7 linked regions of the Macaca mulatta genome follow. The protein of the gene in region 4 purifies or fractionates together with the protein of the main gene of each other region. This does not show direct contact. Links are inferred from orthologs where the notes say so. Each region holds a gene or a part of one and is shown on either strand. Other genes may lie near its edges.

The links.
Region 1: the proteins of CHD3 (region 4) and BCL11A purify together in Homo sapiens (affinity purification with mass spectrometry; 3 studies listed by BioGRID). This does not show direct contact. The link is inferred for Macaca mulatta from reciprocal best matches to the Homo sapiens genes CHD3 and BCL11A.
Region 2: the proteins of CHD3 (region 4) and BCL11B purify together in Homo sapiens (affinity purification with mass spectrometry; 3 studies listed by BioGRID and IntAct, with this or other methods). This does not show direct contact. The link is inferred for Macaca mulatta from reciprocal best matches to the Homo sapiens genes CHD3 and BCL11B.
Region 3: the proteins of CHD3 (region 4) and CDK2AP1 purify together in Homo sapiens (affinity purification with mass spectrometry; 6 studies listed by BioGRID and IntAct, with this or other methods). This does not show direct contact. The link is inferred for Macaca mulatta from reciprocal best matches to the Homo sapiens genes CHD3 and CDK2AP1.
Region 5: the proteins of CHD3 (region 4) and MTA1 purify together in Homo sapiens (affinity purification with western blotting; 7 studies listed by BioGRID and IntAct, with this or other methods). This does not show direct contact. The link is inferred for Macaca mulatta from reciprocal best matches to the Homo sapiens genes CHD3 and MTA1.
Region 6: the proteins of CHD3 (region 4) and ZNF219 purify together in Homo sapiens (affinity purification with mass spectrometry; 3 studies listed by BioGRID and IntAct, counting the BioPlex papers as one, with this or other methods). This does not show direct contact. The link is inferred for Macaca mulatta from reciprocal best matches to the Homo sapiens genes CHD3 and ZNF219.
Region 7: the proteins of CHD3 (region 4) and MTA3 purify together in Homo sapiens (affinity purification with mass spectrometry; 4 studies listed by BioGRID and IntAct, with this or other methods). This does not show direct contact. The link is inferred for Macaca mulatta from reciprocal best matches to the Homo sapiens genes CHD3 and MTA3.

The regions. Positions count from the first base shown.
Region 1 is NC_133418.1:64,324,545-64,328,044, reverse strand, and holds part of BCL11A (BCL11 transcription factor A), read right to left. Parts: intron 2,081-3,500; coding exon 1,979-2,080; intron 1-1,978. UniProt on the Homo sapiens protein: Transcription factor. Associated with the BAF SWI/SNF chromatin remodeling complex. Binds to the 5'-TGACCA-3' sequence motif in regulatory regions of target genes, including a distal promoter of the HBG1 hemoglobin subunit gamma-1 gene.
Region 2 is NC_133412.1:172,590,763-172,594,877, forward strand, and holds the start of BCL11B (B-cell lymphoma/leukemia 11B), read right to left. Parts: upstream 2,801-4,115; 5' UTR 1,809-2,800; coding exon 1,751-1,808; intron 1-1,750. UniProt on the Homo sapiens protein: Key regulator of both differentiation and survival of T-lymphocytes during thymocyte development in mammals.
Region 3 is NC_133416.1:130,672,886-130,677,034, reverse strand, and holds the start of CDK2AP1 (cyclin-dependent kinase 2-associated protein 1), read left to right. Parts: upstream 1-1,349; 5' UTR 1,350-1,416; coding exon 1,417-1,525; intron 1,526-2,306; exon of another isoform or gene 2,307-2,460; intron 2,461-3,350; coding exon 3,351-3,445; intron 3,446-4,149. UniProt on the Homo sapiens protein: Inhibitor of cyclin-dependent kinase CDK2. Also acts as a component of the histone deacetylase NuRD complex which participates in the remodeling of chromatin.
Region 4 is NC_133421.1:9,405,999-9,409,498, reverse strand, and holds part of CHD3 (chromodomain-helicase-DNA-binding protein 3), read right to left. Parts: intron 3,191-3,500; coding exon 2,999-3,190; intron 2,860-2,998; coding exon 2,659-2,859; intron 2,309-2,658; coding exon 2,171-2,308; intron 1,913-2,170; coding exon 1,791-1,912; intron 1,645-1,790; coding exon 1,471-1,644; intron 1,351-1,470; coding exon 1,209-1,350; intron 961-1,208; coding exon 829-960; intron 1-828.
Region 5 is NC_133412.1:178,892,956-178,896,455, forward strand, and holds part of MTA1 (metastasis-associated protein MTA1), read left to right. Parts: coding exon 1-65; intron 66-371; coding exon 372-560; intron 561-2,700; coding exon 2,701-2,775; intron 2,776-3,252; coding exon 3,253-3,311; intron 3,312-3,500. UniProt on the Homo sapiens protein: Transcriptional coregulator which can act as both a transcriptional corepressor and coactivator. Acts as a component of the histone deacetylase NuRD complex which participates in the remodeling of chromatin.
Region 6 is NC_133412.1:93,940,087-93,943,245, forward strand, and holds the end of ZNF219 (zinc finger protein 219), read right to left. Parts: coding exon 2,336-3,159; intron 1,989-2,335; coding exon 1,857-1,988; intron 1,583-1,856; coding exon 978-1,582; 3' UTR 501-977; downstream 1-500. UniProt on the Homo sapiens protein: Transcriptional regulator. Recognizes and binds 2 copies of the core DNA sequence motif 5'-GGGGG-3'. Binds to the HMGN1 promoter and may repress HMGN1 expression. Regulates SNCA expression in primary cortical neurons.
Region 7 is NC_133418.1:82,262,228-82,266,220, forward strand, and holds the start of MTA3 (metastasis-associated protein MTA3), read right to left. Parts: upstream 2,801-3,993; 5' UTR 2,791-2,800; coding exon 2,763-2,790; intron 2,439-2,762; exon of another isoform or gene 2,099-2,438; intron 1,090-2,098; coding exon 1,022-1,089; intron 1-1,021. UniProt on the Homo sapiens protein: Acts as a component of the histone deacetylase NuRD complex which participates in the remodeling of chromatin.

The sequences.
Region 1 (3,500 bases), on a different chromosome or scaffold from region 4:
ATTTTCATTACTACCAGGGGTGATTAATTACTGAGGGTAATGACTAACCACATTACACACCCCGCACGGCTTCCAGAGGAAGGTCCCAGTCCAGGCCTTAACCCAGGCCAAAAGGAGGCTGTAGTGAAAGAGCAGGGGTGACTGGCACACAGCAGGGCGGCCAAAGGGAAGTGCTATGAGCTCTAGAAGCCGGGGGCAGCAGGTTAATGCCGCCAAGTGGAATGGGCATCAGATTTGTTCTAGAGCTTTCTGGACCCCCACAACCCATTTCCACATACCTTGTTCTGGTCACTCCTAAACTGGTCCTGCCGGCAGGGGCACCAGTAAACTATGTACCCTCCCTTTGTGGGAAGGTGGGAGAGGACAGGAGTTCCTTATCAAGCTCAGACTTTCCTACCAGTCAAATCAAACTCCCAGCCCTCAGGAAGACCAGGCTGAAGACAGAGAACTATGTTTCCCTGGCCAGCAGCCCTTGGCCTCTCAACTCCACCCTCCTCTCAACTGCTCAACTGCCTTCTTTCCCTTCCCTCCAAAAGTGGCTCCGTTCCCACAGCCCCATGCAGGCCCCAGATGCCCCCAGCAACAGGAGAGCTCTCCCCACCCAGCCAGCATGCAGGGACTAGAAACCGTTGAGTCCAACCCCCTAAACCCTCTGCAATCTGTGACCTAACCCAGGCTTAGGCCCAGCTTGGGGAAGGGGGGCAGATGAGGTGCTTTTAACCCCTGAACCACCCAGCCCTCAGGACCTGAGGGCTTATGAAATTCACACAATAACTCTTTGTTACCTAGGATTACCTAGGAGTTAACAAAAATAAACAACTGGCTTTGACTCTGGTCTCAGGGTGCATGCCCTGCTCTTCAGATACCATTTACAAGGTGGATAAGTGTCATTTCCCTCCCGTCTAAAAACAGTCCCCCTTAGAGCCTTAACTCTGGCATCTTGCTCTTTGTTATTCTCTTTCCATGACCCTTTTCCTTTTCTTTTCTTTTCTTTCCACAGCAGGTTATTTTTCATTTACTTTCAAATAAAAATTAGAGGTCACACTTCTTTTCTTCTTGAACCTACTTTTTTGTGTTTAGGGCGGAATCACTGCCCACCCCCCAACCCTTTAGCCATGCATGATTCATACCATGTCTTCCTACACAGAGAAGCAAACTGTATTACTTTCTAAAACAGTATCTTTCAGAAAACATTTGTATAAATGGACAAATTTAAGTTTCATAAAATGGTCCTTACTATAAAAGCTCGCTTGAACAAGTAAATGGTGGTGGTGGTGATGGTGGTGGTAGTGGTGGTGGTGGCGGTGGTGGTGGTGGTGATGGTGGTGATGGTACTGGTGGTGATGGTGATGGTGGTGGTGGTGGTGGTGGTGGTGATGGTGGTGGTAGTGGTGGTGGTGGTGATAGTAGAACCTTCACATTTTAACTAAAATGATGTGCATTTTCCTCTAAAACTAGGAGAAAAATAAGTCAAAATTATGTGTGATCATGTATATATAAAATATACTATGTACAAATATACATGTAAATACATAAGGAATATGTATTAGAATAACTCTGGAATAACCCTAAACTGACTGCTTTTGATTCTGGCCTTGGCTAAAGATGTGTGCATTGGACTATACCCGAAGTCCTAAATGAGGCCACAGGAGTGAATGTCCAGTAATAAAATGGGCTCCAAAGGCACAGACATATTCAATCACTAGCCATGGAGCCAGACAAGACCCTGGGGAGAAGACCCACAGGGATTAGCTACTTTCAGCTCCCAGCCTCCAGTGAGGAAAGAAAAAGGGGAGGCAAGAAGTCCCTCTGGGGCTGAGTGGAGTGGGGAGCGTCTGCCAAGTGAGTAATGGAATAATACATATGACAATCTATTTTGGAAGTAACTCCGTTCAGTACTTAAAAAGTAAGGGCAATTTCCAGAAACTGTCATCTCTATACACATGGACATTTGTAGAAGAAATAAGGCTCAACTTACAAATACCCTGCGGGGCATATTCTGCACTCATCCCGGGCGTGGGGATTAGAGCTCCATGTGCAGAACGAGGGGAGGAGAGGCCCCTCCAGTGCAGAAGTTTATCTGTGAAAGAAACCCAAAATCAAGCACTACAGCTACAAACAACGTGCATCATAAACCACAGGATATCACATTTCAATTCCATTAAAACAGATTAACATCATTACAACAGCCTTGCAGATAGTTAACAGGCCCAAGGCCTGAAACAAAAGAAGAGTGGAGAGTTATTTCCCACAGTTTCTGTTTTGTTTTCAATTTCGGTCTTTTTGACAAAAGGGAAAGGGTTTGTTTTAGGAATGGGGAGAGGTGGTCTTTGGTTCATTTGCTTGTTTATTTGTTGTTTGATTATTGTTTTGTGGAAAGAGATGGGTAAACAGCAAGGGGAAAACTGGTAATATTGTGGGTAGCCTGGAAACATGGGGGTGGGCGTTATCTGCAAGGCTGGTTTACATGCATACATTAACTTTACTTTATAGACAAACCCAAGCAAAAAACAAAATGCTGATAGGAAATGAGTAGATTTGTGAACCGTTTTTTATGGGACAGAGTCCCATTCTGCTTTCTCTGTCCCTCTGCCCCCCTCTTCCCATGCTATATTTATGATAGAGCCTTCAGTGACAGGGGAACCTTGGGCATTTCTGGACTGACCTGGGCCATATGCTAGAGTCCTGTCAACGGGAAACCCTGTACAGATGTGGCTTCTCACAATACAAAGCAATGGAAGATAAAGATTAGACTTCTGGGGTCCAAATAACTTTGGCCATTACATGACAAGGAAAGAACCAGCATTCCAATAATACCAGCACCCAGAAACCCTGGCCCACCTTCACCATTTTATTGCACTTTGTTGCACTCTGGTGAAGACAAGTGACTTTTCACACTAATAAAATGAATCTGATAGTCAACAAAACATTTCTAGCACTGAGATTTTTTTGAGAAGAGGAAAATTTGGTTTGTGCAGTCTGGGGATTTTATGGTTTATGTGGTAAGTGCCTAGCTTTTCCAAGTCCTCCTCTAGCTAACTAACCATGTAGTTGTCCATCTTGAGACAGACTGGAGGATAGATGGTGCAGGAAACGCTCTGTGTGTTCTAGAGGTTTGGAGTTCGTGATGATTGGGGAGGGCAGGAGAGAAGAAAAACAGACTTTGATGGTGAATAAACAGTATGTTTTCCATTAGCTTAATATTAAGAGCACTTAGAAGTGTTGTTGTTGTACTCTAGGATAGCAGGTCTCAAGTGTAAAATACATCCTGTTCTCCTTATATAGAGCACACTGCCAAGCACAGCCAAGGCAGTTGGGACAAGATTTCCTTTCGTGAGGAGCCTGGTGGGTAACGATGGTGTGCTGCTGAGAAGGCTCTTACACAGACAGCATAGGTCTGCTGTTACCAGGCCTGCAGAGGGAGGCCCTGGTGGAAGCACCACCTAGCCTGAGACTGTCTACAGAGACATTTCATCCTCTCTGACCTAAAACAAAATAAA
Region 2 (4,115 bases), on a different chromosome or scaffold from region 4:
TCTGGCTGCAAAACATTTTGTTTTAAATGCAGCCGGCGAGTCTTCTTTGATGTTACAATGGCGAAAAATAAAAGAGAAGTCCTCTTCCCTCCCTCCAAAGAGGCATCCCTCTCCCAAGGCGAATCCCACTTTAATTTCTATTCCCCCCAAAAAAATAATCATAATAAATCCACAAATTCTTACTAATGTATCTGCTGTAACAAAGGAGAGATGGCAACAGCAATTGCTCCGAGCAGATGGCTCCTATGCTGGATTTTCAGGGGAGGGGAGAACCCCTTTATATATTTATTTATTTATTTAAATTTTTTAAAATATAACATAAATATTCGGCTCTCGGCCGCCCCGCAGCCAGTCCTCTGCGGCGGCTGGGCGCGCAGCCCTCTCTAGCTCCGCGCGGGCAGCCCGGCCCCAGCCGGGCGAGGTGCGCGGCGGATTGCAGACATACAACCTGCCCGCGGTCTCGATGGCACCCAGAGGATGTTTTATTTTTAATGCAATAAAAAAAAAAAAAAAGGAACGGCGACCCAGGCACCGCGAGAGAAAGAACGGCGGGGAAATGTTCGCGCGCAGCGAAGAAGCGGCCCCGCGGGCTGCGGCGGGCGGGCAGCGCGGCGATGCCACCTTCCCGGTGCAAGTGTGCGGGGACCCGGAGCGGGCTCCCCTGCAAACACCGTACCTGGCCCGCTCGCGCTCGCTTTTCCCCTCTGCTGAATAAACCCAACAGGGACGGTGGAAGCTGCTGCTTGTCTTGCCCCGCTGCCTGACTTTGCCCGCCCAGCCACATGCTTGAAATCTACACGATTTCAGCCGGTGGATTTCCACTGCGACCTGCCTTGTTTATTTAGAGAGGAAAGATGAAAGATACTGAGATAGAAAGATGGATACGAGATTGATGGGTCTCCTTTTATTTCTTTTTTTTCTTTTACTATTTTACGAGTGCATCACTCTCTTCCCACTCCTAACTGACAACCTTTTTTTTTTTTTTTTCTTCTCGTGGCGGGGATTTTTCACCAACCCCAATCCCCCCACCTTTTTTGAAGTGGGGGAAAGAAGACAAGATCATCCCAGGAGACAGACGGAGGTGGGGAAATGGGGGGTGGGGAGGGGGGCTTGAGCCCTGCAAACAGCCGCGCAGCTGGATTATTTTGCAAATAGCAGGAGGAGGGGAGAGAAAGGCGGCTGCGGAATCCTAGGACCGGCGTGGCCGGCACCCTGCTGGGCCGGGCGCAGGGACCGGGAACCCGGAGCCGGCGGCCGCCCCTGGCCCTACGGCTCCCCCAGCCCGAGCGCACCCCGCTCTCCTCCGCCCGCGCCGTCAGCACGGACCCACGCGCTCGCCAACTTTTCCCCACTTCCCGGCTCCCCCCTCCCCCTCCGCTCCCCCAGCTCCCTCCCCCTCCTCTCCAAACCCCGCCACCAGCGCCGCCGCCGCCACACACGCCGCTCGGAGGGGCGAGCGTCCAGCCGGGCTCGGCGCGCACACACACACTCCTCTAGCCTGCACGCCCCCTCGCAGGCCCCCGAGCCCGAGGCGCGTCCGGCTGCTCGGCGCCCCAACTCCCCCGGCTGCAAAGAAACTTTCCTATGGCCCCCGCCCCCCGCCATGCTGCAGGCCGACGCCGTTGACTCTGCCAGCCAGCGGGCGGCCCCGGCGCCTGGCCCGGCTCGGCTGTTCCGGGCTCCGTGTCCCCAGCCCCAGGCGCCCGGAGCCCCATCTCCGGCCCCTCGCGCGCACTCCGCAGACACTTACGGGTGATGAGCTCCCTCTGGGACAAGTGCTGCGGGTTGCCCTGTTTGCGGCGGGACATTGCCCCGGCATCTATTCTGGCATCGCCCGGAGAGCTGCACTGATGGGGGGAGCCGGGGGAGGGGGTCCGAGTCGCTGCCGCTGCCGCCGCGCCGCTGCCGCCGCCGCCGCCGCCGCCGCCGCGCCTCCTCCTCTGCCCGGGTTGGTGTTTTTTTTCCCTTCCTCTCTTGCCCTCTCTTCCTCCTCTTCTTCTTCTTTATTTTGCTCTTTCTTCTATGCTGTTTTTTGTTTTGTTTGCAAAAAGAAAAAAAAGGGAAGAAAAGCAAGAAAAACCTTTCGATCTAAAATAAGAAAAAGAGGCAAAAAAAAAAAAAAAAAAACTGCTGTTGCTTTCCGCGGACTGGCTGGTTTCTTTAAAAATATATTCTTTCGAAGGAAAAAAAATCTCTTACACTTCTTCAAACTGCTTGGCCTCTTGCACTTGCAAATGTCTTCTTGAACTTAAACTGGATTTTGCACCGGCTCCTGACACTTTCTTTCAGGGTCTGGTAGGTGGAAAGCGCACTTCTACCAGGAGGGGAAAAGAAAAAAAATGCAAACAAATAAAAAAAAAAGAAGAAGAAAAAGCAAAGGAAAAAAAAAGCAAAGAAAACTTGGGGACTTGTCTCGTACCCCCTCACCCCGCCCCCTCAAAAAACCCAAAGCAATGTAAAACTGCCCCGGTTCGGTTGTTTCTGGGTTTTTCTGCGGGCTGCCTGTTTTTGTTTTTTGTTTTTTTTTTCTCGGAGACTGACCCTTCCGAGGCTCTGGGGGGACACCAAGAGAGGCTCCTTCCCAGTTCACCTGGCAGGCTGGCGCCGGCCGGAGGGGCTGCCGAGTCCCCGCGAGCGCTCCCCAGCGCTCCCCTGGCGCCGCGGGCCCGGGGGGAGCGGGGCGGAGGGGCGGCTCGCCCAGTGCGCCTGGGTCGGTGCGGGCGCAGACTGGGAGCTATAGATTGCAACGTGAAGATGGCGGAGTCCGGGTTCTCTGGGAGCTCTCGGTCTCTCTATGGCTGGGGCTGCCTCTGTACAATGGGATAAAATTCAAGTTCAAGTGCGGACGTGACGTTTAATCTGCACTAGAGACAAAAAGACCCAGAGAGTCGGAGCACTGGGGGCGACTAGCGGTGGCTTTTTAACATTGTACCCTGTAAGAGAACAAGAAAGCACACACAGAGACACACTCGCGCGCGCGCACACACTCACATACACACACACAGTCGCCGGTTGCGCACACCCGCAGCCCAAGCCGGACACACGTGCAAACCGCGTTTTTGTGCGCTCCTCATCTCCCCCCAGCCCCGGCTGCGCAAAAGCAGGAGGGGGTTGGGGGGGGGGGACACTGGGCAGCGTATTTTAAAATAAAAGAAAAATCGTCCTTATATCGCCTCCCTCCTGGGAGCAGGACCCCCTGAGAAGGGGGCCGGGGTACTGTGTGAGTGAACTAAATTGAATCAATACAAGTCTCCACCCGCCCAAAAGCTCTTTCGGACTTGGACTTTGGGGGTGGGGGCGTGGACTGTGGAAAAGGGTTGGGGTCGACATGGGAGTTGGGGGACAGTAAGAATTGCTTCGTTTCCGTGGAAAAGTCGCTTGGAAGTTTTTACTTTTGTTTTATGGTCGCGGGCGGGGGCGGGGTGGTGGATGTTGGAGTTCAACTTCCAAAAAGTGTCTCCATATAAATCCTGGTATTACAGACTCTGGGAGGGTGAGGAAGACAAAATAAACGACACTAAAAGAACAGAATCAAGAACACGTGAGGGGCTGAGAAGTGTTTGAGACCTTGTTTGAGTCCCATTTGGAAAAGGATTTTCACTCAAATCTCTGTCCCCTCCCCTCACCTTACCCCCATTAACTCCTAGGGGTCAAACACGGCCCCACCCCCTAAACCGGGTCTATGGCAAGCGAGAGGGTAAGGGGCCCGGGCGCTCCACGTGGGAGAGGGACTTGGACTTGCCGGCCCAGGAGTAGGTGTGGCCAGATCTCCGCAGATACTCGGGTGGGTGACTCCAGGAGGCGCCCCTGACAATCACAGCAACCTGAAAGTCACACCCCGCCCCCCGCGCTCCTCGGCCCAGGGTAGGACTTGAAAATGCCTGTCAGACTGGGAAGGACGCAGCTGCCTTGTCAGCCGTTTGATCTCCAGCCGGCGAGGACAAGAGGAGTTGTGGGGCCTGTCTGTGGCCCGGGGACAAGGCCGGACCACGGCCCCCGTGGACACCCCCTATTCCCCAGGCTGCGGCCAACTTTGTGAATTTGATGACCTGGCCTCCAGGGCTGGGCGCGCCACGCGGCTGGCCTCCTCTCCATTCTCAGGGTTTCTCCGGAGG
Region 3 (4,149 bases), on a different chromosome or scaffold from region 4:
GGCGCAACATTGAGGGATTGGTAGGTGCCGGGCTTTGTGACCTCACTGGGGCCCCTCTTCTCTGACACTTGGTCGGAAACAGACTTCCCAAAAGGCGGTTGTGTTGCGGGGCGTGGGGGGTAAGGACTCGGAGGGAAAGGAGTGGCCCCGTTGGTCACCGGTGCCACGCTGGCTCTCCTGCTCGAGTTTTGGGCCTTGTTTGCAAACGTTGACTTCATAAACCTCCCACATCCGAAGTAGGACCCATAAAAACGATATTTAAAAAAACCTTGGACACTGAGGTGTAGGGGCAGGAAAGGGTTAATCGTCAGGGTGCTGAGGGAGAGTTGAATTGCTCACTTGTGGGCTCGGAGTCCCAAAGAGCAAACAGCCACTGTTTTCTTCTCAAACATTCTCACCTCCTCTGGGGTCCGCAGACCTTACAAAGACGGGCTTTGTTGCCAGGTAGGACTGCCAGCAGCGTTCTTCCTCTGGCCTGTGGGGAGGGCAGGGGCTGGTGTTGCCAGCCTGGGCAAGGCTGACAGCTCAGGCTTGACCTGGTGTCATTGGGGCCGGGGCCTTAAACTGGGACCTTCAGGGTTTGGGGTCACAGGGATAGCGGCACTCACGGGGACCCCTGAAGTCCTGTTCTGAGCTGGCTGCACCTGTATTCAGCTTTTCTTCTCTTTCTTCTGTGGAGAATTTCAGGAGTGCCGAGATCCCCAGATCTGGGCTTTTTGGTGCCCCTCCCTCTCCCCCATGGACCCTTTTGCAGAACCCCAGCTCCCCTCCTGCCATTTGCATCCAAGATGGACTCTCCGCTGCTGCCGCTGCTCCTCCGGCTTCCTTGTCATCATCCCTCACGCCCTGCAGCCCTGCCTCCTGCTCACGGGTTGCCAAGCCGCGGCCTGGCCGGTGGTGGCAGTGGCGGAGTTAGACAAAGCCCCCGCCTCCCCCGCCCCAGAGCCCCCCAGGCGCCCCAAGTGGCGGGAAGGCCGCCAGCTCCCCAGGCCCCGGCGCTCTTTGTCTGGCGTGGGGGCGGGGAGCCGCGCCTGGCCCCAGGAGCTTCCTGGCCTCTGCCAACCCCTCGCTCCTGCACACTGCGCTCATTGTCTGAGATGCGCCGAGACGGCCTGCGCTGACGTGGTCCCTGTGTCCCGGTCCCTGTGTCTGCAGGAAGGAGTGACCATGAGTGGAACTCGGGGCATTTCCGCCATCTCTCTCCAGGACTAGACACCCCCCACTCAACCCTGAACAAGGGACTGGCCTGGACAGAGCATTGGAGTCACCGAGCTATTGCTCCTTGTCCCCCCAGCCAAAATGGGACAATTTCTCATTCCTCCTTCCTCTCAGCCCCGCAAAACCTAACCCCAGTATCATCAAATAGTAGGGTCTGGAGCCTGTAGACCTTCTCTTGGGAAGCACTGCCTCTAACAAATGGAGAAACTGAGGACTGGAGGGCGGGGGGCCTGTCTGAGGTCACACAGCCAGGAGTGGCACAGCTGGGGCTGGCGCCAAGTCCAGTGGGGAGGACAGAAAAGGAGAGGTGAGGAGCAGTGGGCAAAGCAGTTGGGGAAGAGGACGGGGGCACACCGAGTTGATTCGAGGGTGCGTGGGAAGTGGCTAGCGCCCCTCCTGCCAGGCTGCTGGGATCTTGCAAACACCCAGGGTGCTGTGCTCTATGGTCCCTCCCAGAGACTGGCCCTCGAGGCCAGAGAGGTGTAGCTACCAGGATCGAAACCCAGGTCTCTGCCAGCAGAGCCTGTGTTCCCCATGCCACGCTTGCTGCCACATCAGAAGCTCAGGAAACTGGGGTTTGGCTGATGTGGTGAGGGGGCGCTGGGGGACATCGCCCTGCCCAATTCCTGCAGTGGCCGTGGACGTGCCGGATATCGCGGGCGTAGTGCTTCCCCATCCCAAGCCGCCCATCCCTGTAGCACACGTGTCTCGTCATCCCCATGTGGGAGGCATGGAAACTGAGGCTCGGAGTGGCATGGTGCTTTGCCCAGTTCAGGATCCAAGTCCACGTTTCCAGGTCCAGCCCAAGCTGGAGCATAACCCTGGGCTGCAGTGGTGGCATCCAGGGCTGGCCTGAGACTCAGGGAGACAACTCGGGACTGTCCCCGCTCCCGGATGCTCCTGGACAGAGGGGCAGGTGCTGAGGTAGCTGGCTCCCTGCATGGAGGGGCAGGTGCTATGCTGTGTGCCCTGGGGCAACTCCCTCAGGTCCATGTCTCTAAATAGAGGGGCCTGGAGCCAGGGTTCTCCAGGGCTCCTCCCGGCTCCCCCAGCCTGAGGCCCTGAACTTCCTTCCTCCTCTGCCCCTCCCCTCACCCACACCAAGTGAGCAGCTGGTGGGTTTGGCCAGCCTGGCACCAGCTGTCCATCCCCGAGGCCAAGTCTGCAGCGCCCGCTGTGTGTGTGAGAGAGAGACCGTGTGGCTCTGGGGGCGGCAGGCGGGCAGCTGCCGAGGAGGACTAGGTAAATTCTCCATGGTTACCGCTGTTTGTCATTCTGCAGGATATCCTTTACCCGCTAATGGCCACTGGGACGCCATTGCGGGGCCGCGTGCTCCCAGCCTCAGACTCCCCTCCCAGATCCAGGAGGCTGCGTTCTGGGCTGGGCCCTGCTTGGTCACTGACTGCAGCCCTGGACAGGCCCCAATGTTGCATCCCATATGTGGGGCCTCAACCCTCCTCTCTTGGAATGCAGAGCCGTTGGGACATAGACTGCCAAGAGTCTGGTCCCCCTTTGGGGAGGGGGAGACAGGCACAGAGAGGTTGAGGGGCTTTATCTGGGGCACACAGAGGCCGTGGTGTTCTCTAGATTCCTAATTTGATGTCCAGCATGCCTGTCTCCAGCCAGGGTTGGGTCTCAAATACTCTAAGGCCTTCCCATCTTCCCCGTCATTGAGCACAGCAGAGATTTCGGTGCATAGGACAAAAAGGCTTGGAAGCTCCGCTGGTTTGGACCAGCCTCCATGGCAGTGGGCTCTTGTGGTATGATGTGGCCTCTAGGTTTTCATCCTCTGGGGCCAGGACACAGGGAGAGGGGATGGGCAGGGATGAGGCCAGGAGTGGCAGTAATTTTATCTTTGGGAGCAGCCCTGCTGCTTGGAAGGTTCTGGTTGGACAGGACGGAGCTCTGTGAGGACCAGCAGCTGCTACAGAGCTGGGGATGGCCGAGTGCCTTGTAGCTACATTTCATTATCCGTCTTCTACACTGGTCAGACTAGAGGTGGAGAGCAGGGTTCTCTATCCTGCTACAGTTGGTGGTGTGGGTCCTGGGCAAGGGCCATTGCAGGACCTGGAGTCCTTGCCTTGGTACAACTGGCTGAGCTGACTCCTGGCCTCTCTCTCCCCACCCCACAGCTGGGAGTGTCCACTCTCCTTCCACCAGCATGGCGTCTTCACAGTACCGCCAGCTGCTCAGTGACTACGGGCCACCATCCCTAGGCTACACCCAGGTATGGCAATGGGGGTGATGGCATGGTGGGAGGGCTGGGGGGAGACATGCTCCCCACCATCAGAGGAGAGAAGCTGGTGGAAGAGACGAAGGAGCAGAAAGTATGGGACAGAGCTTTCTCAGCCCAAGGCCCTGACTGGGCTCCGGCTCAGAACACATCAGAATGGAGGGCACTGGGGACTGTGTTTCGCAGGGACGTGTGAGGTGGAGCGGACAGGAGAGCACCAGGAAGGGGCAGCAGCCCGAGCTGCGCTGCGGCCCCCACCCCACGCGCTCCTCTGGTGGGTCTCCTCACTTCTCTTTCCTGGGCAAGTGAGGCCTGGCCTTGACCCTGGCTCTCCAAGCTGGGACAGAAAACGGCCGGTTCCCACTTGCTCTCCACGGGCGTGGGCCCAGCAGAGAGGAGGTGGCCTTGTCTCGAGAGCCAAGGTGCCTCTTGTTGAGGGCCAGTGTTTGAGAGTGTGGCCCAGGCGAGGCCGCTGCCTGGTTCCACCACTTTCCAGACTGTGACCCCCACTTGGTAACTGCCCAAGACCTGGGCTCCTCATCAGCCCAAGGGTGATCCTAGTACCCCCAGCCCAGGCTGGGGAACAGCAGGAATGGGGTAGCCACCATGTCAGCTGCACCCCACATCTCCAAGGGATGAGCTGCCCTGTCGAAGGTCCCAGCGGGAAGATGCTCTCCCTGGCTGGGCCCCAGTGCCAG
Region 4 (3,500 bases):
TGACCTCAAGTGATCCTCCTGCCTCAGCCTCCCAAAGTGCTGGGATAACAGGTGTGAGCTACCATGTCTGGCCCTCTTGTCACACTCTCTTGATTTAAGATTGTTTCTCCTAAGGCAGAGGTTCTCTGCGACCCATGAAAAGGTTTCAGGGAAATCTAGGAACCCCCTGAAAATCCATACAAATTTGTGTCATTGTATGTACAGTTGTCTGGAGAGTGGACCCAGAGTTTTCATCACATTTCCAGAGGGTCTGTGCCTTCACCCTCACCTGCCAATAAGATGAAGAAATAATACCAATCTCTAAGGAGGCTCACCCTCACCCTTCCCCCATGCAGCTGAAAAGGAACTAAAGCTGGACTTCAACTTCCAATAACCTTAAGAACAGGCATCAGAGGCCAAGAATAAACTTGCTATACAGTAATCCCAGCACTTTGGGAGACCGAGGTGGGCAGATCACCTGAGGTCAGGAGATCGAGACCATCCTGACCAACATGGTGAAACCTCATCTCTACTAAAAATACAAAAAATTAGCCAGGCATGGAGGTGGGCACCTGTAATCCCAGCTACTCGGTAGACTGAGGCAGGAGAATCACTTGAACCCAGGAAGCAGAGGTTGCAGTGAGCCCAGATCACGGCCCTGCACTCCAGTCAGGGAACAAGAGAGAAACTCTGTCTCAAAAAAAAAAAAAAAAAAAAAGAAACTCTTACAGGAGGAATCTCCTCATTTGTCACACTGGAGCAGCCACAGGAAGACGGTAAGAAATTAAAGTGTGGAGGACGAGGAGAGGGAAGAGGAAGCAGATGTAGACAGCTAAGGGCACAGGTCACCTGCGAGAAGATGAGTACTCGGTGTCCTTGCTCCTTCAGCTTTCGCAGCATCTTCTGGAGCAGCATGAGCTTCCCAGATGACTTAATAAGTGCCCCACCCTCATAAGCCCCACTGGGGAGTTTGGGGGACTCCTGAAAAGGGAGGAGAGAGGAGGAGGACAGGGTCAGTTGGAAACATCTCCCCATATTCTTACCGTGCCTAGAAGGCCAGATGCCCAGATCCAGCTTCCACACATTCCCAATTCCTACTGCTCTCAGAGACCCAGTCCCTGGCCTTTCAGCGCACTCCACCCTTGTGGCTCAATACCCACCTCCCCACTACTCCCCACCCATGTTTTCTGAGAGCGGACATTCGATCAGCTCCTGCTCTGTGTATCTACCATAGCAGCCACGGGAAAAAGGTATGGATGGTTGCAGCACTTCTTAAGATCCATCATGATATTAAGCAGCGACACCTGGTTCCCACCACCTCGTGAATTCAAGGCCTCAAAATTTCGAGTCAGGATGTACTTGTAGTATTTCCTAAAGGCCAGGAAAGGGGTGTAAAAGAAACATAAAAAAAAGAAGCAATTATGATATTGCACTTGGAATGCTCCCATCAATCCCCAACCCCTACTCCAGGCAGCTTGTCTTGCATCTTACTTCTGCATGGGGCTTAGCTCCACCCGAACGATGAGCTCTGTCTTGGCTGGCATGTTCTTAAAGACATCTGCCTTGAGCCTCCGTAGCATATGTGGCCCCAGCAAATCATGCAGTTTCTTGATCTGGTCCTCTTTGGATATGTCAGCAAACTCCTCCAGGAAGCCCTCCAAGTTGCTAAGAGCCAGGAGAGAAGAAAATTAACAGGTTGGCAAGTTATTTGCCGCTGATCTCAGGCTTACCACCTCAGATTAATCCTCTACCGGTTCATTTTATCTGCTCCACCTCTCATCTCTGCCAACTACCCTTAGGGAACCACTTACTTAAATCTCTCTGGGGTGAGGAAGTTCAGGAGATGGAAGAGCTCCTCCAGATTATTCTGCAATGGGGTTCCTGTCAGCAGCAACTTATGATCTATCTTGTAACCATTGAGAACCCTGAAAAACTAAAAGATGGGGCAAGGCAAGGCAGGAGAATGGGCTTATTAGTGGCAAATGACCGACCCACAGCATCAGCCTTTCTCTGTCCCAGCTCCCATTTCACTCAGGATCAGAGGCCCCAAATCTTTGGCCCTCTCCCTCCTCCAACCTGGCCGTCCTCTCAGACTACAGAAAATCCCCAGAACTTTGTTTGGGTTTTTTTAGGACCAGGGCAAGTAGGAGCCCACCATTTCAAGTTTTTGAGGTCTGAGAACCTCACTCACCTTGGACTGGTTGTTCTTGAGTCGATGGGCCTCATCTACCACAAGACAGGCCCAGCGGATAGAACCGAGTGCTGCCTGATCAATGGTGATCAGCTCATATGATGTCAGGAGAACGTGGAACTTCACCTGTGCCTCCCTCTGCCAACATAATTATTGCCCATTCAGCTGCCACCTGACAACCATGGACTTACACCTCCAGACACCTTTTCCTGACTGTGGCTGCCAATAGGAGCCATTACTCTGTTCTCCAAGCAGGGATTACAGACCATGGCCCCTAAACCTCTGCCCACATTTCCAGTACTGACAGATCCATGTACGCCCTTGGGAGTACCTGCCACATCTCTAGGATGGTAGTGCAGAGACACGAGGACAGGTGGAGGAAGAGGAGAAAGGTGAGGAGAGAGGGGAATAGAGAAACTGAATTCCTGGCTGAGAAAAAGAAGTGACAGATTTGAGGGTCTTAGAGGATATGAGGTAGAGGGGCTTACCTTCATCTTAAAAGCTTTCTTGCCCCCTTTGATGGCGTTGTCCTCAAAGGAGAATTCATTCTCACGAATGATGGCCCGGCTATCCTTGTCACCCGTGTATGTCACCACATAGAATTTGGGTGCCCACATCTGGAACTCCCGCTCCCAGTTAATGATGGTAGAGAGTGGGGCACTCACCAGGAAGGGACCTTTTGTGTGGCCCTGGGAGTCAAGAATGGGGCAGCATAAGTCTAGGCTAGAGGCTGTATACCCCAGTCCTCTGCCAGCTACACCCCTCCATCTTCCCCCTCCCCAATTCCCCAGTCCAAGCGGTCCCCTTCAAGGTCCTAGAGTCCAGCACCTCCTTATAGAGTGAGTAGAGGAAGACAATAGTTTGTATGGTCTTGCCCAGCCCCATCTCATCAGCTAGAATGGTATCAGTGCCCTGGGCCCAGGAGAAGCGCAGCCAGTTCAGCCCTTCCAGCTGGTACATGTGCAGGGTGCCTCCAGTGGCTGTGATAAACCGTGGCTGAGTCTCATATTTCACGGTAGGCTACGGAGACAAGAAGTCAGAAAGCTCAAGGAAATAACCAGCAGCTCCTCCAGTTTTAGTCTCCTCCTCCCTGGCATGGATACCAAGTTGGATTACAATTCCCTCTACTATGGCCTGAGTTTACAAAAGTTCTCACATCTAGTCTTCAGCCCCTCCCCCTCATTCTGTAAGACAATATCCAGCAGCACCATGGGGGAGGGCCAGCTGGTGAAAGAGCCGCCAGTGGGCTATCTCTAGCAGCTCCTGCCCTTTTAGGCCAAAATTCTTAACCACTCTTGGGGCAAGGCTGGACGCTGAAGGAAGAGCTGCT
Region 5 (3,500 bases), on a different chromosome or scaffold from region 4:
GCAGCTCCGTCCGACAGCCCAGCCTGCACATGAGTGCCGCAGCTGCCTCCCGAGACATCACCCTGGTAAGTGGGCCTAGGGTGGGACAGCTGAGACCTGGAGTGACCCACGGCCCAGAGTGGCTGTGCCCTTCCTCCTACCTGGACCCAGCACCTGCTCCAGGTATTCAGGACCCCCGCAGAGGTGCTGTCCCACCTGGACTGGCCTTTCCTATCCATCCCAGGCTCAGCCAGACTGTCCTGAGGGTGCAGGGAGGGCTGTGCTGCCTGGTCCTGCAGCAGGGGATCCTTGAGGCCCTGAGGGAGGGTTGCCGTGCCACAGGTGCAGGAAAGCCACCTTGGCCCAGGTGACCCTGCTATCTCCTGCCTCAGTTCCATGCCATGGACACTCTCCACAAGAACATCTATGACATCTCCAAGGCCATCTCAGCGCTGGTGCCACAGGGCGGGCCCGTGCTCTGCAGGGATGAGATGGAGGAGTGGTCTGCGTCAGAGGCCAACCTTTTCGAGGAAGCCCTGGAAAAATATGGGAAGGATTTCACGGACATTCAGCAAGATTTTGTGAGTACCGTGGGTGGCGATGTGGGAGTGGCTGACCATGCCCATCTCCAGGTGGGCTGTGGGGGCGTGGGGTCCACGTCCCCCCCTGCCCTGAGGGAGCCTGTCCTGCGCCCTGATTCCCTGTATGGAGCTGCATGAGTTCTGTCTCAGCTGTGCTCGGCCACCACAGTCCTGTCACACTGGTTCAGCAGACGGCGCGGGGGCACTGGTGGGGCCTGGGCATAGAGAGCCACGCTGCTACCACCACTGCGTGATAAGGATAAGGGTTGGCCCAGGTGACGGAGGCCAGGGTGTCCTCACAGAGACTTTCCCTTCCTTGCCACCCCCTCCAGCCCCAGCCTTGGTTTTGCTTTGTTTTTGACTAAGCTGAACCTCTGTTTCCTCATGTCCTTGTTTTCTGGCTCATGTGAGTTTGGCCCAGCAACAGGCCGAGAGGGTCTTCATGGTATGGGGTCTCCCCTTCCCTGTACCTCTACCTCAGGACCCCCATCCTCCCACCGTCAGCCTTCCTAAAATATGTTTAAACTGATCTGTTAGAAGGGCATCCCCACGTGGAGGTGGTGGGACCCCTGACCATCAGCCCTGGGGAGGTGGAGCCTGTGGCAGGGCAGGGAGGAGCCCCAAAGGGCCAGGACATGGCGAGGTTGCTGCTGTCTGATGAAAAGCACCATCCACGCCGCAGCGCACAGGCCAGCGTAGCAGAGACTGGGGGGGCATCTGGAATTCGGAAGAAACAAACATGGGGTTGGGTAGGGTGCCTAGACATGAAGAGGAGGGACAGCAGCCAGCCGTGAGGCAGGAATGCAGCTTTGTGTGGGGGCCTCTGGCCAAGGGGAGAGCTTGGCCAGGCTCGGGAGGAGTCCTTGACTGGGGCAGTGGCCTCTCCAAGGCGGATATGGATTTCTCCAGGCTTAAAATCTAACCAAGATGAGCAGAACATGTTCAGACAAGAGGATGAGGGCTAGAAACAAAATTCACCAACTGGCTCAGATGAGGGCAGAATTTGAGGGAGACCCTGCTGCACATGGTTCCAGCAGAGGAGACCCCAGTGCTGAGTCCACGTGAGCCTAGCGAGGCAGCGCTCGGGGCTGTGGCTGCGGGGCCGAGTCCAGGCGTGGGGTCAGGAGGCTGCAGCTTCGGGGCTGTGTCGAGGGAGCAGGCCCTGCTCTTCCTTCCTGCCAGATGCAGTGGACCAGACTGAGGAACTATCTGAACCCTTATTTAATAAGGTTTCTTAAATCCATGCCACAGGCCGGGCACAGTGGCTCACGCCTGTAATCCCACCACTTTGGGAGGTCGAGGCAGGAGGATCATGAGGTCAGGAGATCAAGACCATCCTGGCCAACATGTGACACAGTAAAACCTGTAAAACCCTGTGTCTACTAAAAATGCAAAAATTGGCTGGGTGTGGTGGCGGCGCCTGTAGTCCGAGCTACTTGGGAGACAGAGGCAGGGGAATCGCTTGAACCTGGGGAGGTGGAGGTTGCTATGAGCCGAGATTGTGCCACTGCACTCCAGCCTGGGTGACAAAAACAAAAATGGCTGAGATGGCCGGTCATGGTGACTCACGCCTGTAATCCCATTTGGGAGGCCGAGGCGGGTGGATCACTTGAGGTCAGGAGTTCGAGACCAGCCTGGCCAACATGGTGAAGCCCCATCTCTACTAAAAATACAAAAATTAGCCAGGCGTGGTGGCACGTATCTGTAGTCCCAGCTACTCAGGAGGCTGAGGCAAGAGAATCGCTTGAACCCAGGAGACAGAGGTTGCAGTGAGCCAAGATCACACTACTGCACGCCAGCCTGGGTGACAGAGAGAGACTCCATCTCAAAAAAAAAAAAAAAAGGCTGAGATGGAGGCTGGGTTGTCAGTGCCACCTCGGCAAGATCTCCACCTTGACCCTGTGTCAGCTCCTCTTCCCCTGGCGTCACTGTGTTTTGGCATCTGGCAGGGGGTACCCACTTCATCAGTTCCCTCTGCACCTGCCTGCCAGCAGGGGCCTGGCCTCAGCGCACCAAGCACACCTTGCCCTCCCACCTCCTGCCCCCTCTGTGGCTTTCTGGCCGCAGCCCTGCCCCTGCCCTCATGATGTGCCTACCTCCTGCCCCTTCCTGCTTGGGTGACACGCCTCCTCCCACCCAGCTCCCGTGGAAGTCTCTGACCAGCATCATTGAGTACTACTACATGTGGAAGACCACCGACAGATACGTGCAGCAGGTAAGCCCGCCTGCCACTCAGTGCCCGGGGCACACCACCTCCGCGTCCTGCGCCCCATCCTCTCCCAGCAGGTGGGCGTGCTGCTGAGTCCCTGGCCCGGCTCTCCTCTCCACTGGCTCTCTCCTCCCCGTTGGCGCTCTCCTTCCCATTGGCGCTCTCCTCCCCATTGGCGCTCTCCTTTCCACTGGGGCTCTCCTCCCCATTGGCGCTCTCCTTTCCACTGGGGCTCTCCTCCCCATTGGCGCTCTCCTTTCCACTGGGGCTCTCCTCCCCATTGGCGCTCTCCTTTCCACTGGGGCTCTCCTCCCCATTGGCGCTCTCCTTTCCACTGGGGCTCTCCTCCCCATTGGCGCTCTCCTTTCCACTGGGGCTCTCCTCCCCATTGGCGCTCTCCTCTCCGTGGCCTCCAGCCTGTCTGCACCACAGCCCCAACCTGGGCCTAGCCCGCTGACCTCTGACCTTCTCTTTTGTTTTAAGAAACGCTTGAAAGCAGCTGAAGCTGAGAGCAAGTTAAAGCAAGTTTATATTCCCAACTAGTAAGTGTGCCCTTACAGCCGTGGTCCTCGTGGCCCTGGGGGCCAGGGAGGGTGGGCACAGGGTGCCGGGGCCAGGCGGGTCCCGAGGAAACTCAGGCTCAGAGGCTGGGAAAGTTAGGGCAGCCCCTGTGAGGGCAGCGCAGGGCTGGGGGGTTCTGGCTGCAGACGCGATGGACGTGTCTCCGTCGT
Region 6 (3,159 bases), on a different chromosome or scaffold from region 4:
CCTCCAAGGAGCTAGAGTAGTCCTCTGGATTAAGGTGATAAATAACTTGAGCACTTTCCCTCAACCAGCCCTTAACTAGAACACAGAAAATAAAACCAAGACTGGAAGGTCCCCTGTACCCTTCCCAGGCCCAGAGCTGACTGTGTGTGAGCCTGGGAGAATGTGTCTCCTCCACAGTGGCTCCCAGAGGCTCCACTCTCTGAAGCTCCTTCTCCCACACTGCACCTACTCCTTGAGGCTGAACTGGTCACAGACAAACTGGGATGCAGCACAGTCCAGCAGTTCTCAAAATGAGGCCCTCAGGCCACAGTGTGTGAGAACTTGATTGGCTATTTGTTAAATGCTGATTCTTGGACCCCATCAGAGCTGCTGCATTGAAACCTGGGGGTGAAACCTAATATTCCGCATTTCTTATCAAACTCTTTGGGTGATAACTAAATGTCTGAAGAGGTGACTATTTCCTGACAGAAGGGCCCAAAGAGAGGAGCAGGACATAGGTAGGCAGACAGACACAGGGCCCTGTGCCTCACGACACCTGTTTATTGGGGACACGACTCTGCAACAGGGATGACAGGAATCGTACCAAAAATAGCGACGTCTACAGAGCCCCTGATGGGGCTAGAAGGGTACAGTGCTCCCCACCCTCACCCCTTGTACAAAAATAAACTCTCACGCCTATGGACCAGCAAAGACTGGCAGAGTGGCTCCTCAACAGGGACACAAACCCTCTCTGCCAGCCCAGGGACCCCGTTCTTTGACCCTCACCTCTGCCACTTCTAAGGCACTGTGACTCCCTTGGGCTGGGTGGGTACCGCCAGCCCACCCTCCTACGCCCGCCGCCCCTTCCACCTCTGGTCCGCCTGGGGCTGGGATATGGGTCCCACGCTGCCCCCTGCTGGCTTCTCTACCCAACTACCTCTAGCGCTCCCCCGCTCCGGCGGGGTAAGCTCACTAAGCTAATCGCCCCTGAGGGCTCACTACCGTTCTTGCCCCCCTAGCCCTGCCTCTCCGGGTCTGGACAGCCCGGAGCCCTCCTCCCCTTCCTGCGAAGGACTGGGAGGGGTCTCTCCTGATGGTACTCGGGCATAGGGCGAGGACGCGTCAGCCTGGGGTGGCCGGCGGCCCCTAGCCCGGCGGCTGTGGTGCACTTGAAGGTGCAAGGCCATGAGCTCTGGGGCTCCAGTGGCGAAAGGGCAGAAGAGGCAGCGGTGGAGGGCACCCCCCGGCCCGGCCTCGCCTCCCGGCCCTGCCCGCAAGGACAGGTCCAGGGGTTCGGCCTCACCACCTCGCCCGTTGCGCAGGGTCCTCCCAGGGCTGGCGGGCTTCCGACGGGACCCCGGCCCAGCACCGCTAGAAGGAGGCCGGGGGCTTGAGGCACCCTCCACCCAGGTCGCAGGCTGTGGAGACGGCTTGGCTCCAGATTGCGGGGCTGAACCCCGCTGGGAAGGAGGCGGTGGTTCCGGGGGTGGCCCGGGGCCAGCCCCGCTCCTCTGCTCCCGGTGGTGGCGCTGTAGGTGATACTTGAGCGAGCCGGACTGGGTGCCCGCGTAGTCACAGTGCGGACACTTGTAGGGCCGCTCGCCTGGAGAAAGTGGGTGCAAAAGGGTTACGGGGTCACGATCACTGCACGCACCCACCCGAATTTCGCCCAATTTAGAGACCTCATTCTCAGAACCAAGAAAGGGCACTGCGTCTCCCACCCACTTTGATTTAATAAAGGAGCCTCATTTCCCAAGTGATCTCATCCAGCCAAACTGAAGGCTTCGGAACAAACTTCACCTCCCGGTGTTTCGGTAGCCCTCGCCTTTCTGCCCGCCCCCTAGTCCCCTCTCCACGCCGGAAGCTGCCTCCCTCACCTGTGTGCACTCGCAGATGCACTTTGAGGTGATGTGCTGAGCGGAAAGATTTTCCGCAGAAGGGACAATCCTTGCCGGTGGCGCCCCGGCCCCCTTCAGGCCGGGTCCCTCCTACCAACAGCCCATTCTCTTCTGCAACACATATATTAAGAGGAAGTCAGCGGGGGCCTACACTCTGTCCAGGTCCCGTGCACCCACCCCACACCCACCCCATACCCACCCCACACCCACCCCATAGGGCTGCTTCCCCTCGGAGTCCAGAAGGAAACAAAAGTCTGAGGGGTTAGATTTGTTGTGACTAAAGAGTCAAGTGTTCTCAAATGATGGCAAAGCCTCCAGAAAAAAAAAAAAAAAAAAAAAAAAAAAAACTCAGAAGAAATAAAAGATAAGTTATTTTAAAAAGGAAGCTATGGGGGAGTGGCGGCGTAAGAGTCAGAGGAGGACGCGGCGTACCCGGAGAGCGGAGGGTCCCTACATACCCTGCGTGGTGGTCGATCTTGCCGGGGCCCCAGCAGAAGGGGCAGAGTGCCCCGGTCCCTCACCCGGGCGCGGATGCAGGGAAGCCAGAGGGCCCAGCGACCTGCCCCGGGCCCAGGTCTCCTCCTCGGCCTCCACCACCTCCTCTTCTTCCTCCGGCTCCTCCGCACGGTGCCGGCGAGCCCGGGCCGGGAGAGCAGAGGACAGCGGGCGGAAGCCTCCGAAGCTGCGGCCGGGCCCGGGCTCAGCACCCTCGCCGTTGGGCCGGCTCTCGCCAGCCCGCAGGCTCAGGTAGCCCAAGAGGCTCGGGGGCTCACGGCGCTCGGCCGGGGTGGGCGCCGGGGCCAAGAGGAGCGCTGGGCCCAACGGCTCATAGGCCAGCAGGCCGAGGTCAGGAGGCTGCGGGGCCCGGGCAGGCCCGGAGCCAGGCCCCGGGGCACGCAGTGGGCCCAGCTTGCTGGCGTGCACCTTCATGTGGTTCTTAAGGAACCAGGGCTCCTTGAAGCAGCGGCCGCACACCGGACACGCATGATCGAAGGAGGCCTTGTGCTTACGCATGTGGCCCTTGAGAAACCAAGACTGTGTAAAGCTCTGGCCGCACACTTGGCAGCGGAACTCTGGAGGTGCTGGGGGCTCCTCGGGAGCGACAGGAGCTGGGGTCGGGGTTGCCTCACGTTCGGGCTCGGGCTCCGGCTCCGGGACTGATCTAGTTTCGGGCTGGGGTGGAGGCTGAGGCTGAGGCTGAGGCTGAGGCTGAGGCTGAGGCTGAGGCGCAGCGGTGGTGGCCGCCAGGGGGCGCTCGGGAGCCCCGTGGGCCGTCAGGCTG
Region 7 (3,993 bases), on a different chromosome or scaffold from region 4:
GGTTTCACCATGTTGGCCAGGCTGGTCTTGAACTCCTGACCTCAAGTGATCCACCTGCCTTGGCCTCCCAAATTGCTGGGATTACAGGCATTAGCCACCATGCCCGGCCTAAAATCTCAACTTTCAAAGAGTCTGGGACTGAAAGTAAAACCATCTCTTATGCCCTTTACCCCATTCATTTTTATTTATTATTATTATTTCTTTTTTTTGAGATGGAATTTCACTCGTTGCCCAGGCTCGAGTGCAATGGTACGATCTTGGCTTACCACAACCTCCGCCTCCTGGGTTCAAGCGATTCTCCTGCCTCAGCCTCCCAAGTGGCTGGGATTATAGGCATGTGCCACCATGCCCGGCTAATTTTTTTGTATTTTTAGCAGAGACGGGGTTTCTCCATGTTGGTCAGGCTGTTCTCGAACTCCTGACCTCCGGTGATCCTACCACCTCGGCCTCCCAAAGTGCTGAGATTACAGGCATGAGCCACCGTGCCCAGCCCTATTTTTATTTTTTATATTAATTAAAAAAAAAAAATAGGCCGGGCGCGGTGGCTCAAGCCTGTAATCCCAGCACTTTGGGAGGCCGAGACGGGCGGATCACGAGGTCAGGAGATCGAGACCATCCTGGCTAACACGGTGAAACCCCGTCTCTATTAAGAAATACAAAACAAAAAACTAGCCGGGCGAGGTGGCGGGCGCCTGTAGTCCCAGCTACTCGGGAGGCTGAGGCCGGATAATGGCGTGAACCCGGGAAGCGGAGCTTGCAGTGAGCTGAGATCCGGCCACTGCACTCCAGCCTGGGTGACAGAGCGAGACTCCGTCTCAAAAAAAAAAAAAAAAAAAAAAAAAAAAAATAGAGATGGGGTCTCACTATGTTGCACAGGCTGGTCTCAAACCACCCACCAGGCCTCCCAATTTACTGGGATTGCAGGCATGAGCCTCCGCACCAGGCCACCCTTTACCTAATTACCCGTTAAGGGAAAATAAATATTTTTTAAATTAAAATTAAGAACACTCAGTGTATATACCTTGTTGAGTTCTTCTATCCTTCTTATTAGGTATGGGTTGCTGGAGGAATTCTCAAAGTAGACATAATCTGTAATTAAAGGAAGTACAGAACTTAATATTTTCAACAGAAAGTTCAGATTTGTCAATCCAAGACTTTTTATGTTAGGCAATTCACGTTTGAAATTAAGCTCATAATTCATTCACTGGTAAAAGCAAACATAATAATGCAGCCTTAATATATTCTCTCATGTGCCTACTATTCACGGACCTTTATTTTCTTGGCATTTTCATTTCAATTAATGTTTCATCAGTTTCTCCTAGACTTCTGTCCCAATATGTCATTTCTTTAATAATAAACAAAAAAGACACCTCTTATCACTGGGTAGTCGGGGCACACTAAACATGTGTCCTCTGTACTATAACTACTTCCACATCTTTTTCCTCCAATACAATTTGCCCTGGAGGCTGCTTCTCACATAAAACTATTGACCTAAGACACATTCAGAGCATGGAGAAAGGCTTCACAGTCCAACCTACATTTCAATCGCTACTTAAAAAAAAAAAAAAAAAAAAAAAAAATCAGATGAGCAGAACAGGTAAGAGGAAGAACACTAACAAACTTTTCCACAGCTCTACCTGGGAAGATGAGGGAAAAAGCGGGTCAGGGGGATCAATTATAAGAGGCAAAGTGCCCTGGGGGTGATATCACCATCTTTTTTACCCTTTTACCATATTTAATCCAGATCCATTTAATGTCTTGTGATTAAGAAATTGCTGCAGGCTTTCAACTAAAAAGATAACATTTTTCAAGTGTGGCTTTTCCTCTCATCTGATAGGCTCGCTGGAAACTTCCCACTGTGTGTTTATCTCAAAGGCAGCTGCATTGTTATTGTCTATCTTAGTGGCTCTTTCGCCGCTGTCTTCTGCAAAGTGGCCTCATTTAGCCAGGCCATTCCCACCACCATCCATCAGAAGCTCAGCTAATGAGCGGAGAAGGAAGAGCCAGTCTCTCATACAAACACGCCACTTATCTGAATTATTATTTTACCAGGAAAGAGGGAGGAGGGCGTCGTGAGTAGGGAGAAAGTTTGTTTGACCTTATTTCTCTCTTCCGCAGACTGGGAAGGAGGCAGGCAGCAGAGCAAACGTCCAGGCAGAGCTCAACTCCCCACCTCCGGCTGAGGTTCCCAGGTCCCACGAAGCCCCATTCGTGGGGGGCTGGACCAGAAACGAAAGGAGGGGGGCCGAGGAAGGCGAGGTGCAGGGCCCCGGCAAGGTGCAGGCCCGCAAACAGGCCTGTCCAGCTGGGCCCCTGGCTGGGCCCCCACCGCCCCCACCCCCACCCCAGGCTCCCACTGAGTGGGGAAGAAGCAGGGGAGGGGATGTCCCCTCATCCTCTCCAGCGCCTAGAAGCCACGCGAGAAGGCCACCTTCTCAGGGGGCTCGACGGGCCCCACCACCATGAGGGTTTCGTGGAGGGAGGTGTCTGGTAATTCGTACCCCCAAGTAGAGGCCTGGCCCTAAACACCTGGCGGGGTGCGAGGGTGAAGGTGGCCCCGGCCCCTCGCGAGCCCCCGTGGGGGGAGGGGAGGGGTGGGGTGGGGGTGGGGAGTCCTGGCCCCTCTGCGGGCCCCGGCGCCCCCGCCCCCTGCGACCTCAGCCCCGGCGCCAGTGGCTCCCGGCAGTTGGCGTGCGCTCGCCCCGGCCCCCCGGTCCCGGAGCCCGCTCCCACACGGGCCGGGTCGGGCTGAGCCTGCCTACCTCCGACCCGGTACATGTTGGCCGCCATGTCCGCCCGCCCGCCCGCGGAGCCCGAGCCGAGCCCCGCCCGCCGCCGCCGCCACCTCCTCAGCCTCAGCCTCGACCGCCGCTGCCGCCGCCGCCTCCGCTGCTGCCTCGCCACGGGGGGGAAGGGAGGGAAGGGAGGGGACAGGGGGAGGGGGAAGTGAAGGGGAGGGGACGCCGAGGGGTGGGGGCTGGTGCCCGCCCCCAGCGCCAGGCTAGCGAAGCCTAGTGGGCCGGGCCGGGGGAGGCCCGGGGAGGCCCGAGCGCTGCGGGACCAGCGGGAATTGGGGGGGAGGGGGAGGGGGAGGGGGAGGGGGAGGGGAAGGAGAGTGGGAGGGAGGGTGGGGGGCCTCGCTGGAAGTGGAGGGCCCTGGAGCCAGGGTCCTGGCCGAGGCAGAGGCCTGCGCTCAAATGCGGACCAGGGGCAGTTAGAGAATTAGAGTGGGGGCTGGGGCTCAGCCTCTCCCCAGCACCTCTTGCCCCACCCAGTGTACCCCGTCACCTGTCCACCCCGAGACAGGTCCTCCTTTCCTACCTCTGTCCCTGGGGACCCCCCCTGGGGCTGACCTGGTAGGCGAGCGCCAATCTCAATGCAAACTCTTGGACGCAAATAAGTACAGGCAGCAGGGTGCCTTCCTCGTGGTGAGATCCAAGGGGCCGGCCTGGAGCCTGCAGGCTCTAGGGCCAGGAAGACCCTGGGTGCTTCCCGCCTCGCCAGAGACCCGGCTGGGGACAGAGGTTGAAAAACTCCCTTCCTAGGCTACCCTAACTGCATCATCGTTCACCCCAAAACTGGGCTGAGCAGAACCAACTCTCCAACACCCAGATGGAGGCCCTGGCTCTAGACAGGCCCTATATATGCAGGGCCTGTTCTGCTGGGACCTTTAGGAGTGGGGGGCTTCCTTTGTCCATGGGGGAACAGGGCCCTACAGTTCACAATCACCACCCCCAAAAAGAGGAGATTCTGTTCAATCAGCTTGATATGGATGGACACTTAGCTGGTTATGTGCCTAAAGCTTCTAAATGATTATTGTCCCAAGCCAATTCTCTAAACAACCTCTGTTTTCACGGCCTTCCTACTCTCACAGAAACAAAACAAAAAAAAACCAACAACGTTGAATCTTAGCTGGCTATCCCCCAAACGAACACAAATAACTTTCTTTAGAGAAGCCAGTCCATTCCAAAGTACTCCCAGACATTGGTGCAT